3 linked regions of the Mus musculus genome follow. The protein of the gene in region 1 purifies or fractionates together with the protein of each later gene. This does not show direct contact. Links are inferred from orthologs where the notes say so. Each region holds a gene or a part of one and is shown on either strand. Other genes may lie near its edges.

What was found.
Region 2: the proteins of Vcp (region 1) and Hnrnph1 purify together in Homo sapiens (affinity purification with mass spectrometry, with the first as the bait; 3 studies listed by BioGRID). This does not show direct contact. The link is inferred for Mus musculus from reciprocal best matches to the Homo sapiens genes VCP and HNRNPH1.
Region 3: the proteins of Vcp (region 1) and Ppp2r1a purify together in Homo sapiens (affinity purification with western blotting; 4 studies listed by BioGRID, with this or other methods). This does not show direct contact. The link is inferred for Mus musculus from reciprocal best matches to the Homo sapiens genes VCP and PPP2R1A.

The regions. Positions count from the first base shown.
Region 1 is NC_000070.6:42,986,326-42,991,571, forward strand, and holds part of Vcp (transitional endoplasmic reticulum ATPase), read right to left. Parts: intron 4,553-5,246; coding exon 4,421-4,552; intron 2,440-4,420; coding exon 2,337-2,439; intron 1-2,336. UniProt on the Homo sapiens protein: Necessary for the fragmentation of Golgi stacks during mitosis and for their reassembly after mitosis. Involved in the formation of the transitional endoplasmic reticulum (tER).
Region 2 is NC_000077.6:50,375,594-50,381,498, reverse strand, and holds the start of Hnrnph1 (heterogeneous nuclear ribonucleoprotein H), read right to left. Parts: upstream 3,822-5,905; 5' UTR 3,697-3,821; exon of another isoform or gene 3,641-3,696; intron 3,264-3,640; exon of another isoform or gene 3,209-3,263; 5' UTR 3,169-3,208; coding exon 3,072-3,168; intron 2,032-3,071; coding exon 1,876-2,031; intron 1,679-1,875; coding exon 1,535-1,678; intron 41-1,534; coding exon 1-40. UniProt on the Homo sapiens protein: This protein is a component of the heterogeneous nuclear ribonucleoprotein (hnRNP) complexes which provide the substrate for the processing events that pre-mRNAs undergo before becoming functional, translatable mRNAs in the cytoplasm.
Region 3 is NC_000083.6:20,943,569-20,949,274, reverse strand, and holds the start of Ppp2r1a (serine/threonine-protein phosphatase 2A 65 kDa regulatory subunit A alpha isoform), read right to left. Parts: upstream 3,822-5,706; 5' UTR 3,770-3,821; coding exon 3,692-3,769; intron 1-3,691. UniProt on the Homo sapiens protein: The PR65 subunit of protein phosphatase 2A serves as a scaffolding molecule to coordinate the assembly of the catalytic subunit and a variable regulatory B subunit.

The DNA.
Region 1 (5,246 bases):
TCAGGTCAAGGTACTTGTTTCCAAGCCTGATGACCTACGTTTAATCCTGGACCCAACATAGAAGAAACAAGGAACTAATTCCTCCAAGTTGTCCTCTGACTTTCACATGTGCATGAGTACACAATACAAATTTTTTTAAAGATTTATTTTATTTATGAGTACTCTGTAGCTGTCTTCAGACACACGGGAAGAGGGCGTCGGATCATATTACTGATGGTTATGAGCCACCATGTGGTTGCTGGGACTTGAACTCAGGATCTCTGGAAGAGCAGTCAGTGCTCTTAAACGCTGAGTCATCTCTCCAACTCAAGCACACAATAAATAGAAGTTATTTTTTTAAAACAATGACAAAAATCTGTCCTCCCCCAATCCCTAAAGAAACTTATATTTTTTCCCCTAGCCCAAATACAGGTCCTGAATAAGAATGCAGTAATTTCTGTCTTTAATAGCCTCCCCCCACCCCAAACCCCCATTATCATGTAAGAACTACCAGGCCAGACCAAAGAGAAGACAAGAGACTCCACATGCTTTTGACAGCACAGTTCCAACTGCGGATATGACAAAAATGATTTGGTAAAAGGCCCAATGGAACCCTAATACCTGAGTATCATTCTAAAGACAATGATAGCTCAGCCCATATTCCCCAACTAGTCTCAGATAAAAATAAACCTTTTAGATGGGCATGGTGGCATATGCCTTTAATCCCAGCACTTGGGAGGCAGAAGCAAGTGATATCTGTGAGTTTCAAGAGCAGCCTGGTCTACAGAGTGAGTTCTGGGATAGCCAGGACTATACAAGGAAACCCTATCTCAAAACAAACAAACAAGCAAACAAACTTTTGGTTTATCATTACAGCTTGTTTCTCTGTCTTCAGCTTATTCACAATCCTTCGCAAGGGAAGAAAAGACATACGTGGGCTACAAGAGAATTTGCCAGGGCCACACTGTAGGCAAAATATTTTTGTGTACTGCATAGATTATCTTTGTGGGGCTGGAGAGATGGCTTAGCAGTTAAGAGCACTGACTATTCTTCCAAAGGTCCTGAGTTTAATTCCCAGCAACCACATGGTGGCTCACAACCATCTATAAAGGGATCTGATGCCCTCTTCTGTTATGTCTGAAGACAGCTACAGTATACTCATATACATAAGATAAATAAATAAATCTTTTAAACAAAAAGGATTACCCTTGCATTATTCAAATGCGGATTTCTCTGCTTCCGTATCTATTTGCAATCCGGACATGGCATTGTAATGCTTATTATAGTTGTTCCCCATTTATTCTGACTTGTCAATAAAAGCTAACCAGCCAATGGCTGGGCAGAAAAGAAAATAGGGTGGCGGGACTTCCACTAGTATGAAGATGGGGGAAGAAAGGAAAATTCACAGTGAGAAAACGGTCCTGGAGACATCTCTGAAGCTCAGAGCACCAAATCTCTCAATCATCTGGATACTTTGCAACCAAATACGAAGATATTTTGGCTGCAAAGTATCCAGATGAGCTTAGAAGATTAGAATAAATCAATGACTTCCCAGGTACTGTGCGGTAAAGCTAAATTAAATAAATCTTAGATTCAGTTTTGCTTATTTGTGAGCCAGCCAGGGATAGAGAAATACTGCCACTTTTAAAATTATTGCAATACCATACAGTGAGACCATATTTCAACTCTTATCCCTTTTCACCCCACCCCTAAAAAGCCTTCCCCTTATTGCTTATCTTCTCATAATATACTCATTCATCAGAAAATGTTTAAGTGAGGCTATAGAGACAGCTCAGGACCTAAAGAGTCTGCCTTAAACACATGAATACCCAAGTTAGATCCCTAAAAAACAGGCATGGTAGCACACACTTGTAAATCCAGCACTGGAGAGAGGCAGACTCCTGCAGCTGTCTGGTTAGTCAATCTATATACAGTTCCTGGTAAATGAGACCCTGTCTCTAAAATGGTATGTACCTGAAGAACATGAAATTATCCTCTGAACACCACACATGTGCATGCATACCACTATATATTAGCACACATGTACACAAAAAAAAAAATGGCTAAAGTTAGGCTGGAGAGAAGACTCAGTGGCTAGCAGCACTGATTGTTTTGGTTCAGAGTATAATCCCCAGCACCTACAGTGGTTCATGATAACTTATTAACTCTAGTTCTAGGGGGATCTATGCCCTCTTCTGGCTTCCTCAGGCACTGCACATACATAATACACAGACATGTAGAAAAAACAGTAACCTTAAATTATAAATTTTGTAATATGCTGAAGGGTATAGGTGCAGGTGAATGTTTCCATGAGTTGCCTAACTCAGAAATGGGTCTAGACGGACCAAGTTTCTTACCATTGATCAGAAAGAAGAAGGCTCCAGTTTCATTTGCCACAGCTCGAGCAATCAGGGTCTTCCCTGTCCCAGGAGGCCCATACAACAAGATTCCCCGAGGAGGCTGAGGACAACAAAGTTCAGTTAGGGTCAGAAGTTTACCTTCCCCAACTCACCCATCTAACTAGCTTGACTAGAGCTCTAGTGAGGGGTGAGCATCAGGGCTCTACACTGATACCATTAAGAAAAGGCCTTTGGTGTCCAGAGGGATGGCTCAGCATTTATGAGCACTGGCTATTCTTCCATTGGTTGTGGCTGACAACCACCTGTAACTCCAGTTCTAGAGCTATCTGATGTCTTCTTCTGGTCTCTGCAGACACTGAAAGCTTATGGTGCACACATATACGTAAAAGAACTAACAGCCACACACATAAAATAGTAATTTAAAAACAAACAAACAAACAAGCCTTTGAGATACGTTTATAATCCCAGCTGAGGAGGGAAAGAAGGACTACATACTTGAGGCCAGAATGATTTACAATGGGAGACCAAAGAAAAACAAAAGAGCCAGATGTGGTCTGAATCTTCAACCCAGCTCTCAAGTCAGAAGCAGGCAGGTCTCTGAGTTTGAGGCTAACCTGTTCTATACAGTAAGTTAGGATTCTGCTGCCCAAAACAAACACAAACAAACAGACACATACTCCTCAGAAATAAACACTAATGAATCATATACACTGTTACTTAAAGAAAAGTGATGCCAGAAAGCTGGTAACATTTATAAATGCAATTTGCATAGGAGACTAATCGTGAACAACCTTTAAAAAGTCACACCTAGGGACTATAAAAACTGGAAGGAAGGAGAGTAAGTAACAAGTTATTACACCAAGGGCGCAATTCCTGACAAACCAGGATACGAGTTATTTACTAAATAAAGCAAGATCAGATTTTCAGGGTTAGAGTTCTTCACTCATGTATTCAACCTTCTAGGTCAGCGGTTCGAAATCTGTGGGTCACGATCACTGGAAAACACCTATTTCTGATGTCTTAGGATCCCCCAACCATTTCCGTTGCTACTTCATAACTCTAATTTTGCTACTGAGTGGTGTCTTAGTTCCTAAGACTACCAGAAATGTGTAATTTCCAGTGGAGCTATCTTACAGGTTGAGAACCGTTGTTTGATGATGTGCTAATGTCTTTTTTACTTTTTCTCTTTAAAAGATTTATTATTTGTTTGTATGTATGTATGTATGTATGTATGTATGTATGTATGTATGTATGTATGTATGTATGTGAGTTCACTGTAGCTGTCTTCAGACATACTAGAAGGGGACATCAGATCCCATTACAGATGGGTGTGAGACACCATATGGTTGCTGGGAATTTAACACAGGACCTCTGGAAGAGCAGTCAGTGCTCCTAACTGCTGAGCCTTAGAATGTCTTTTTTTCTCTTTTTCTCAAAACAGTTATTTCTCTAATAAAATAACACACAAACAGGACTTCTCTGTGTAACCCTGGCTGTCCTGGAACTCTCTCTGTAGAAATGACTGGCAAGCCTCAAATTCATTGATGCACCTGCCTCTGCCTCGTGAGTGCTATGAATGAAGGAGTGTCTTTTTTTCTAAAATAATCAACTGCAACTTCCTTTTGGAAGTTGTCTGCAGCCTTATGCACAAGACACTGAAACTGTTCTCAATGAAGACAAAACCACTTGTATGCTTACTAGGCAAAGTAGTCACTTCATCTTTAGTGTTCTATCACATAGAAAAGATCAAAAACTATATTCTAGATAGGTGGGTCTCAAATATCTAACTCAGTATCCTAATATTCCATTAATCTTCTTTTATTGAGCAATGTTCTACAAAAATTGGCAAAATTAAGGTTAAGATTTTAATAGGATTCATGAGATAAGAACTGTTGTTTAAGCATATTATGTTTGTGTATATGTGTACATACACACATATGACAATCTATAGCTCTAATGAATTTAGAGCCTTCTATAAACCCAGATTATTATTGCCTCTTTATGCTATTTACGGTAGTCACACCACTGATTATACACTGTCAGCTGCATGTTAGACTCCCCACAGACCTTAGGATACTCACCTTTACACCAATCGCCTTAAAGAGCGCAGGATGTCTCAGTGGCAGCTCCACCATCTCCTTTATCTGAGCTAGCTGCTTCCTGCAACCACCGATGTCATCATAGCCTACTTCATTCAAGGATTCCTCCTCATCCTGAATATAGAAGAGTACAAAACAAACAGAACCCCACAGAAATAGTATTGTCAGCAAAAATACAATTTCTCCAAATCCTCCCACTATTTGGTGTAGAAGAAACTATGCTGTGTGAGACGATTCTCTTCTACAGGGATCTTGTCTTAAGCCAGGAACATGCCTGTAAATTCTGTACTTGGAAGGAGGCAGAAAGACTGAGTGTGAGGCCAGCTTAAGCCACAAAGTGAGTTCCAGACAGCTTATACAACAATACCCAGTCAAAGAAAAACAAAACAAAGCAAAAGCCCCGAAACCCTGCTCTCTCACAGTCCTTAGTTTTACTGGAAAGGGATCCCTACAAAAGTTCAAGCTGACCTACACAGGACTGGGTTCATCAGTACCCCATCCTGAATGGAGTAGGGGTGAGGGAGTGGGTCAGAAAAGCACCACCCTACCCTGAGGAGTGGGGCAAGTGAACACTGCCAGACAGAAAAACTGGTAAGGTTGAGTGAGCCCAAACACCATGAAACTTAGAATTGAGAACAGGAGGACTGGAGCCAACTACGTGCCTAACTATCTGCTCTGGAAGCCCACCGAGGACCATGGCAGTTAGTCACACAGCATAAAGTTCACTATGCTAATGAGATATCTAGATAGGCCCTGGGCATTCAATTCAGCCTATGAGCTTCCCTTCTGGGGGACTGTTTCCCTCAAA
Region 2 (5,905 bases), on another chromosome or scaffold:
TCCACCGGCAATGTTATCCCATTTGGCACGATTTCCAACCCTTCAACCCAAGGACAAATAACCCCAGTAGGGGGGCAATATTAACATCACAAGCCCAGAAATGATTCTTCTTATAGCTTTAAATAAACCAGAATTTTAACTTTAGGTGAATGGTATGCTTTCAACAAGTACTCTTAAAATATGCATTGCAATAATAAGAAGTTCCACTATAAAGAGTATAACTCAATTCTTAACACACCCAAGGCATAGTATATACAGTAAAGAAAAAAAAGTGTTATACTCCAGAGGGTGCATTAAGAATTCAACAATTAAAAACATTTTAATCTATGCATCTTAATAGAATTATACAAGAACTTTAAATTTTTTAAGCATTAAAATAACAATTTAAGTAAAATAAGAAACCTTTTAACCTCATATATTTCAATTCTTTTTAAGTTATTGGAACTTCAATTTTAAAATTACACATTTAAACAGTTTATGTAAAAATTGAAAACATTTTAAAAATCATAATTGACAAACATACAAACTAAACTTTCAACAATAACTATCTACAAAGCAATCATGCACTCTTATGTTCTAACAGTAGTATGATTCACTTCTGGAAATTCCGTCTATGAAAAATCCTTCCCGTGGATACATTCCCAAGCTTACAAAAAGGCCTTAAAGCACTTTCCTAGAAGATATGAAATTATGTTCATATTTAACGTTGACAGATAGCATTCAATTCTCACCAATTTAGATAAAACAAAACAGACTTGATTTCAAACTATAAAATATTACAAATTGATACATATATAAAGTTCTAGTCAAAGTTCTAATACATACTATGCTAAAAACTATTAAGATATTTGATTAATTCTGTCTATGTCATCAAGAGTATTAATAGTACTTAAAATATACAAGATTTAACATTCTGCTAAGCATGCAAATCCTATCAGCTCTTCAACATAAAAACATTCAAATACTTTAGGCCCAGAACAACTTCAAAAACTTCTATACTGCTTTCATATTGAGACTACAAGCATTCAACCTACACTTGCTACAATTTACTTTTTTGACTTCTAATAGGCTACCTAAGCCAAGTTCCTTTCATAACAATTTTCATACAGAGAATTACACTAGCTAAAATATTTCTGGTCCCATGACGGAAAATAAGTTATAACACCATAAACTGTAACAATCTAGACTCACACTAATCTAATGTTAAAAGAGCTTACCTTTAACTTGAAGTACTTTGCTAAACAGCAATATGAGGAAGTTAAGATGGCTGAGTAGAATCCTCAAAGGTCTACTCTGAACTACAATACTAAATATAGGCAAAGTTAACACTTTGGAAATACTTCTAATTTCCACCTTTAAGATGGGCTTAAGTTATTTGAAGGTCTCCAGGAAGAAAATGTGAATTCAACAACATATATTCAACAGCCTACTTTAAGTACCTAGACTATTCAACTTTTTAAAGGTCTACTAATACTAATTCATGTCGCCAGAAGCTGCCATACCTCACTGCTCAGCAACAAACAGGACTACATACCTGAGAAGAACTGAACAATTTCTTCCTTGCTACATCCAAAAGGGAGTCCTCTAAGCCGTACAAAGCCATCATTGGCTGTGTCAGGACTATTTGGACCAGTATGCTTCAACACCCAATCCATTTCAACGTTGTTTGACTTGAATACTGAAAGAGGTGCTTAGAATTAGTCAATTAAGTTGGAGAACAAAGTTCAGATTTCCTGGGCTTTTAGATAACTAGGAAGAGCTGCCATAAACTCCCTTAGATGACCATTTCCATGCGGTCAAATACCTAAAATTCAGAAGGGGTAAGACCTCTATGTGTTTAAACGTTTACTGTTACTAGGGCAATGTAAATCAAACCTTCAACATATCTGTGTCCCATAGTTTCTCTGTCTTTTTTCAAGGCCAATTTGACTTCATCTTCTGATTCAAGTTCAACAAAAGCCTCGCCACTTGGTCTGCCTTCTCTGGTGTAGATGAAACGAATACCTTGAGCCCCATTTTGAATTTTGCAGTCTGAAAAGAAAACAACGCTTAATACAGGATTTAAAACCACTACAGATAAAATGCATATTCCTGTCATCACACACACCAAAAAAAAAAAAACATGCCTAAAAAGACTGACCAAGCAGAACACGATCAAATTATCTCATATACAGGATATATTCCTAGTCCAACAAGGTAACTCAATGCTCAAAAATAGTTCAAATGGAGCAGGGCAGTGGTGACGCACGCGTTTAATCCCAGCACTGGGGAGGCAGAGGCAGGCGGATTTCTGATTTCGAGGCCAGCCTGGTCTACAGAGTTCCAGGACAGCCAGAGCTACACAGAGAAACCCTGTCTCGAAAAAAAAAAAAAAAAAAGTTCAAATGAAGCTACCACCTTGCCTCTAAGTTTCCATTAACCATCTCTTGGTACACTATCTCAGAATAATCTCATCTGGATCTGGTGACTTCACAGCATTTTCTTGTTTGGGTACCATGTCAGCTTCCCTCTATCAGCAACCACATAACAATTTCATTCAAATCCAAACTCCAGCTCAATATTCATCCGAAAAGGGACCAATGTTAACAACTAAAGGCTCCAAGCTGCAGTTCAACTCAAACCCGGACGGCAACGGCCCCCTGCAATTGCTTGCAGTATACTTGGGGCTCGATTTACAGATCGTTTTCTGTTACCACAGCTAAATTCAGATGGTAAGGTCAACACTACAAGTACCTTTTTACAAAACCTTACACGACTTGAGAAGAAATCACATCTTTCCCTACTTAAATTTTTCTTAGACTACTCCAGAATGCACAGATTGATGCATAGAGACAGAAAAAGTTTTAAAAGAAAACAAATTCAGCAGGGCCACCAGCATCCCCAAGGGGGTTGGGGGGGGTGCGGATTTCGCAATTACCATTGCGTAACAGCGGCCAACAGAGCGCGAGCCGCCTGGGGAAACCGCTGGTGGCCGCGACTCGCTAGGGGGCGCCCGGGAGACCCGCCCCGCCCCAACCCGGCCCGGCCCGGCCCAGCCGCGGGCCCCACTGACAACTCCCGCCTCAACTCACCAGAAAAAAAGCGCTGCACTTCATCCGCGGAGCAGGACCAGGGCAAGCCCCGGACCTTCACCACGAAGCCCTCTCCGCCTTCTGCTCCCAGCATCATCGTCCCTTCGGTGGTCCTGGCGTCCACACAGATTGCGGGGCTGCGGGGTGGGGGTGGGGGTCAGGAACGCGTCTGAGAAAACAGGCATTTAAATGGCCCTCCCACTTCACGGCGCACAGCGGGCACCGGGCGCCGCCATGCGAGTCCCGCCCGTCAGGATGCCTGGGCCCCGGAGACTCAAGCATGCAACCCGGCCTCGGCTAGCGACCCGATGCCCAAAGCCGCCCAGTGCGCCCAGGGCCGAGGCGCCAAGCTAATAAGACCCTGGCCCACAGCCACGGTTGAGACGAGGAAATGGCGGCCGCCGCTTCCGCTCCGCCTCCTCAGACATCTCACACAATAGAAAGCGGCGCGGCCTGCAGGCCTAGGCGGCGCTGCCACGCCGGCGAGACACTCGCGGCTCCCAGGGGCAGCCTGCGCCTGCCACGGCCCCTCAGGTTAGAACCTAAGCTCAGCGACAAGCAATCGTCACCCAAAGAGGTGTCCGTGGAGAGCTCGGGCAGCAGTCGAAGACGGAAAGTCACTCACCTCCACAAAAAGCCTCGGCGTGGCTGAGGAGAAATGATAAGCGGGCGCCTGCGCAGGCTAAATAAAGCCCTTCCAGCAAGCTCTGCGCACGCGCACCCTGTTGCCGGCCCCGCCCCACTTGCGTCACAGAGAGATTGGACGCATGCGTATTAAGAAACCCCGAGCTCTCTCCCGCCGTCCTATTATTACACGCATGCGTTTGGGCTCAGCCCTCTTCATAAACTGACCGAGGTGTTTTTGGTTGTTTTTTTTTTTTCTTTCTGCGCCTGCGCCTTTTTGCAATTATTGCGCTTGGCGTCTCAGCGGTTTCTTGTTTTACTTAATGCGCATGCGGCTACCTTCAAACCGTTCTCTAGACCTACCCGCCGGAGTGGGGGAGGGGAATGGCGCTAATCAGCTCCCCGCAGGGACTGGGTAGTAATCCAGAGTTCGTTCAGGTTTGCAGGGGCGGTAGTTCTACCCTTAATCCGCAGCTTTTCATCCGCGCTCCTGTCGGTTTTGAAAGACACCACGAAGAAAAGGAAGCCATGCCCTTTCTCCTCAGAACGCGTAGGAGCTGGAGGGCCGGGTTGTGCCAAACCTCCTCTGGGTACCGCCCCGCCCCCTGCGCCCAAATCCCCGATCTCCGTGGGGCGCCTGGGACCAGTCCCCTTACCTGCCCGCTTTAGGGGGTCAGTCCCGACCCACATGGGCTGCCAGTGCCCGAGCTAGTCCTGTACCCCACTTTGCCTAACGGACTCGCACTCTACGAACCCCTCGCCCTTGCACGAGAGGCGCTCGGTGTGCGGCGCCTCGCGAGGGAAGGCTGAGACTGCCAGGGGCGCGAAGGACGCAGCCCCAGAGCGCTGCGCCCGACCGACCAACGGGCCTCTCCCAAGGTGGAGACACGCCCGGGTCATCCCGTGTGCCCTTACAGAGGTAAATGGGTGACGTTTAAGAGAATTCCTGCAACATAGCAGAATACGGATGATGTCCCGAGTTTCTCCGAATCTGACTGACCTACCCTAGAAATTAACAATAAGAGTTATTGTTTGGGCGGTGCCACGGTAGGTACCACAATTGGTAAGCCTCTGAAAGCCATCACAAGAGGTTACAGGCAAAAATACGCTTTTCTTTCAAGTGCAACATTGAGGAGGCTAAATCCAGTTTGAACAGTTTGTTTTTTAAAAGGGGGGGGTGTCATCAAAGGAAAGGTGCAGAGACTGCGTGCAGAACTCAGACCTTTTAAGTCTGCGCAAGGGTGTTAAGTAGAAGGGCATCACAAGACTTCAAGAGAGCAACAGGAGCTGTGTAACGTGAACCTTCAGGTGTAAGGGAAACTCGGATGAGACAGGCTGGGAGAATAACTGCACATGACCTCACCTGCAAAGGATCTATCTAGAGGAGACAGAAAACACTAGTTTAGATCATCGAAAAGTGAGAACTCCCAAGTCTCCAGGCCAGGAGGTGGGTGAAAGGCAAGAACACAAGCCCAGCCGAGGAGAACTGCAACTTCAAGACTTGCCTGAGCAACAGAGTGCGTTCAAGGCAGCCTGGGAAATTTACTGAAAGCCTGTCTCAAAAAGAAGACAAGAGAAATAGTAGTGGTAGAGAGCTTGCTTAACATGTATATTTCCCCCTACATGGTCTTGGGACATGAGATTGATTACCAAGAAACTAAGATTACTCTTCTTTAGCTAATTCACACCATTTGAGAGCCCTATACTTATTAGATGACCTGCGATCGTTGGTTAGATGTATGGGAAGAGCAATGCATACTAGAAAGGCTTTGAGCAAACCAGTCCTACCACTCAACTATATTTTCACACACACACACCGTTTTTTGTTTGAATCATCTTTTTTCACTTTGCACAGTAATGTGCCTGTAGTCCCATCTACTTGAGATGCTGAGATGGGAGAGTCACTGCAACTTAGCAATCCAGGTCTCTCACCTGAAGGGGGGGAAATGTTTCCCTTCTGACAACACAACCACATTCCTACGATGTTTCTCTAAATTCTATTCTAGTTGTATGGGAGGTTATTTTTCCATCGTAAGAGAAAAATGCAGTGTATAATCATAGATAAAAACTTTTATCTTTCCTTATTGTGTCCTTTCCTTATTGTTTTGAGTCCTGATTGCACACATCCCAGGCCGGCCTCAAACTCCCCTTGCAGTCATGCATGGTCTCAAGTGTTTGATCATCCGCCTCCAGAATGACAGGATTAAAGT
Region 3 (5,706 bases), on another chromosome or scaffold:
AAGACAATGCCTGAGAGATTAACAAACTCAATTCCCACAGGGAAACCCTTAGTGGAAGGAAAAAAGAGAACACAGAAGACTGAGGGAGAGGTAGGAAGAGGAATGGACTCTATCAGCTCCCTTTTCGGACCCCAGACAATTAGAAGATGTCTACAAAAGACCTTGATCTTAGAAAAGTATGGCTCTTACATCAGGGGATTTTGGGGGGTCTCTGGGCTCACAGACAATGCTGAGAATCTGATAAAATGCTATTATGAAACCTACCTGAGCACAGCTACAAAAGCCTGTATCCCCAGCACTTGGGAGGCTATGGTAGGGGCATTATGTGTTCCAGGTCAGCTGAGGTTACAAAACAATACCTTAACACAAAACAAAAATGTATATAGCAGTTTTCATTCCATGTCACCATGTTTTTGGAACAGTGGAAGGACCAAAGAGGAACCAAATCTCACTTTGGTAGTAAAAAGATCTCAAGTTAAAGTGCTATAAACGCTCTCCCCACCCCTAAGCCCCCCAAAATTTATTTTCACTCAAACTATAAAATGTGCAGAGAGCTACAGAAAGATAAAACAAAAACAAAAACAAAACAAAACAAACAAAAACCCCACAAATATAGCAAACACTCCCTAGATGCTGGCAGTTAGCCTGCAGGTGCTCAGTGCACTGCTGAGTATCCAGAAAAGAACATGTTCTTTAAATTGCTGGTAAATGTTCTCAGCTTCACAGGCCAGTCTCTAAATCACTCAACTTGGGCTCACAGCACAACAGCTGCAATGGGAAGGAACCACTAGGTAAACAAACAAACATGTCTTTTATTCCAGCAAAGCTTTACTTAATAAAGCTACTGGCATGGCTTTCACTCAAGCAAAACTTTACTTGCAAAAGCTGGCTGTGGATGGATATGGTACTAAGGCTGTCTTTTGCTGACCTGTATACTAGTTTTCAACATTCTTCCCTCAATTTCTTACATGCCTGTGCTCCTCTTCCATCTGAACTATGGGAAATGCATGGGCCAGGGTGACAACTGGTGAGCAGTGAGCAGCAGCCCTAAGGACAATGGATGGTATCAGGGAGCAACCACCATTCCATTCATAATCTTCATGCCAGCAATAATAGCATCATGGATCATCTATAAAGTGTTCCCTGTATACTCAGGTAGTTTATTCATACTCTGCTCTGAGGTTTTCTAGAAAAACCATATTAACAGGCGAGGATGCTGATGCAAAACAAGAAGCACTTGATAGAAAGCAGTGAGTTCCCAAGCAGAACCTAAGCAGTCTGACTATCTGCACCGTCACTGTGTCTAGGAGTAGGGGTCCTGAACACCACGCTTCCTGTCCATTTGTGGACAGTTCTTTCACTCTACTCTTTCTGTCAACAGTGTGCATTGTTTTGTTCAGGAAGATGGCACTGTGAATGTTGGAGTAAAGTGGCAGAAAGCTGTGTAGCCCTGTTGCCTAATTCAAGGCTATGCTGTCATGAGGTCATTTTCATCCAGCAAGACCTCTGACAGACTTCTGATCTCCAGAAACATAATAAAACTTTATGTTGTTGTATACTAAACTTATGGTGACTTGTTACAGGATCCTGACAAAATTGGCACACTGACCTAAGCTAGACAAGTTCCTTATTGTCTCTAGGTGAACATTTCATCCAACAGCTTCCCTCAACCTTAGCACTAAAATCTTTGTTTCCTACCTAAGAAAGATGTCCTATATACTGCAATCATGCTTAACAGCATTCATGACTTCAACCTACTAAAAGCAGCAACAATCTCCCAGTTGTGGCAACCAAACCATCCCTAGACATTACTAAACACCCTTGGAGCCAAAAAACTAGAACTATAGCCATTGCGCGCATACACACACACACACACACACACACACACACACACTCTCTCTCTCTCTCTATCTGGATTCATCTCCAACTTTTTAAACTTTACATCCTAGAAGGAGCCTCCCTCAACTAGCCTAATTCCTCACCCAACTGTCTAGAGGTTACACACTCTGCCCAGAATCTAATGGCTCCTTCAACAAGCAGGTACTGTTTCAAATTTCAACAAGACTTTCCCATGCTTACTCTACATTTCTTATTTTCTCCTTAAAATTTTCCATAGTCAACATAATGCCTATTTATCTGTGACCACTCACTAAAAGGTTAATTCCTTTAAGGCAAGTTTTGTTCTTTTGTTCTTCAACTATCCAAAATACCACTCTGAAGAAAGGCCCAGCAAACACTTGCTGATTCACTCTTTCAACATTGACAAGTCTCATTCTTTCTTACATGTGGTAATATGCAGATTTAGTTCTGTTTACCTGTTTCACATCTAGCCTTTGTACAGCAACCAGACTGCTTCTTTCTTGATACAGTGTCACCAGGCTAGCCTTGACACTGCCTTTGCCTCCTGAGTGCTGGGATTGCTAGCATGCATGCACCACTATACCAAGCTCTGGTCTCCTTTATGACCCAATAACATTCCTCATGCTTTGCATGTGTTTACAGAACATATGCAAATAAATTCATTCAGTATACCCAAAACCAGATTATTATTCCCATTTAACAGAAGAGAAACACAGACTGCCTGAGTCAATTTGCAAAAATTGCAAGATCCAGGAGTACAAATCCAGTCTTGCCAACAATGGAACCAGAGTCACACATAAATACGTAAGACTTAGAGGATAGGCCCAGGTTCAGGAAGGTGACTGAGTGCAGCATGAACAATTCTATATAAAAGGAAAAGCAGAGGGCTGTAGCACAGTGCCACAATAGCCACACCCCCAAAATAATTGCTAACATTTATAGAGCCTTTACATACAGCCAGTTTCATTTTACTACTTTTCCTCGGCCACCGAGGGAAACCAGGACTATTATTAGCCGCTATTTGTAGAAAACAGAAGCCAGGGGCGATGAAATAATGTGCACACAAGGTCATCCTCAGGTGAGAGGATGCGGCCTTGAGGTCTGACCTCTTTTTCAAATCCAAAGCAGTCCGACAACTCTGGGGTCCTGGCTCATTCTTCTCCCATGAACCAGAACTATCAACTCTCTTGGCAGGCCGGCTTGGGACCAGGTCGGAGAACAGGTGGGTCTGTGCACGTTACCCACCCCAGCTACGGCTAGTTAAATCTCAGGAGAGGATACTTTCACCGCCTCCTTCCTCCTCCTTCAGGAGAGCTAACCCAAAATACAAGGTGGAGGTCGGTGAAGAATGGACAGAAATCTCGGTATCAGTCCCCAATCCCAATATCAGTCCCCACTCCTTCCAGTTAAAACGAAAACATTAAAAGCAATGGGAACTCTACCCGGGTCGCCAGGACCCCTGAGGGTTTCTACTCAGCAGGTCACGCGCCCCCGCCGATTCTCTACAAAGAGCCATTCTGAGTCCGCCGCCAATCACCGACTGGCAGGCGGCAACAAGACCGCCACCCTATCTCGGGCCGCCCAGGCCCAGATCTGGGGCGGCCGCGCGCACTCAGGTAGGACCCTCGAGGCTTGCCCTCCGCTTGGCCGGGCACCCAATGAAGGCTGCCATCTCATCGAACCTTGCTATTAAGAAAGATGAGACCTGAATTCTGATTGGCTGCCGCTGCTTTCCGCCACTCCCGGAGAACCCGGAGCCATCGCTCCCACATTCCGCGAAGATCCCCGTCCCCGATCTCCCCCACACACTCTAACGGAAGGATCCCCGTACCTGAACGTCCTCATTGCGGAGTTCATCTATGAGCACCGCAATAGGATAGAGCGAATCGTCACCGTCGGCAGCTGCCATCTTGGCTCCCTGGCGTTTCTATCAGGCAGCAGCGAGCTCCAGGCGGAATCCGGGATCGGGCGGGGCGGTGCCGGGGAAAGGACGCAAAGCGGACGTGGGGGCGCCCGAGCCGCCCTACAGGGGCCGTCCCGCCGCCATTGCCGCACAAGCTCGCGTCTGTTTGGTCTGAACCAACCAAGTCCCGCCTACTTCTCATTCACCATTGGCCGGACGAATGAGATGTTTTTCCCGAAGGACGAGAGGAACCGGAAGTGAAGTATCTTAGTGACCAAGATTGTGCCCGCCTACGTCGCTGCTAGCAACCACGGGAACAAGCAGGTCTAGCTGCCAATGAGAGTCGAGGGTGGGAGGTGGCTAAGATGGCCCCTTGGGGAGAGGCGGAGAAGACTTAAGCTGGAGTCTTGGGAGCTATGCGTGACGTAATGAAGGACATGCTTGTCTGGTTCTGCTATACCGGTCTCTGTAAAGGAGGGACTCCTAAGTAGGGAGATTTGCCTTGCTTGGTTTCTAGGATGCGGTTCTGGGGCTCTTGGCGTTCAAGGCTTTATTACCCACCCCCCTTACCCGGAAGAAATAGAGCGGCCAGAGCGAGTCTTCATCCTGCCGGGGAGCTTCTAGGTAGCTAGTAAAAAATGAACAAGGTCGAAAGTTTTTTGAGGATGGACCTCTGCCTCATAATGAGCTTGGGCGCTGTGATTCACTTAGAAGGCGAATATAAAACTATCACAATCCTTTCTCCTTAAGGTTGAAAATATGAAAGGGAAGAAGGTGGGCATAGCGGGGTTGTTAGATGCTATCAAGGTTGTTAAAGCGTGGCTATTTCTATACTTGATTTTTGTTTTCTCCTTTCGACTCCCCTCGCCTCTCCCCTCCTCCATCATCCTCCCCCCCACACCTCCATTCCTCCCTTCCCCCTTCTTCCTCTCCAATTAGAGAGAAAATTGAGAAAGCACCCTCACAGAGAGTGGAAATAAACAAACAAACAAACAAACAACCCCCCCCCCCTCACAGAGAGTAGGCGTTCCTAAGTAATGATGCAGATCACATATCTCTGGCCCTGAATAGGAAACACTTGGTCTTGTGATAACGAACAGAAGGCATAGCCATGTGTGAAAGTGCACATGCTTTCAATCATGAAACTCAGGAAGCAAAAACTTGTCATCTTTCTGAGATTGACATCATCTTGGTCTACATAGTGACCTCCGGGCCAGTCAAAGGTCTATGGTGTAACCCTCAAAAGACAGCCATACCATTGCCTCATCCCATAAGAGTTAATCCAAATGGTCTGGCTTAGAAACTTCAGTTTATACGCTACCTCACTAAAAGAGTTTGGCACAATGGTACCATTGTCTATTCTTTGTGAGTGTATTTTCTTTTATGATCTCTCTGGCCATTCTTCAGTTTCTTTCCTTTATATGAACTCTTCTATACTGTACTTTATGTGTTTCTGAAACCAATCAACAGAAAACTGGGGAACTCAGGAGAGGCTATGGAGAGGAATTCCAAACAGTGCCTTCTTGGACCATTTTTGATTTAACAGATCTTTTGGAAAAAACATCCTCTTGCCTGTCTCCTCTCCTTTCAGATATAGTAAAGTTTTCTAGTCTTACTTTGAACTGCCCTAGGTTAAACATTGTAGGAAGCACTGGATTTCTTAACAAGTACAAGAAGAGGGTAAGTTTAATTAATTAGTACTAGGTTGTGATTGGTAATGGGCTTACTGGCATTTCTAATCAATTTATGTGAATTATGAAAACTAAAAAATAAGGTTTTATTTACTTTTTTGATTTTAAATTTGTATCCTTTATCTCTTATGCTGAAAAACACTAAATTTTTAGTGACATTGACATAGTCATATTTATGATTAATGATTACATTTTAGGATATTATGAAATAGTAAATGTTATTCAGTTATGCCGTGGGCAACACAGCTGGAC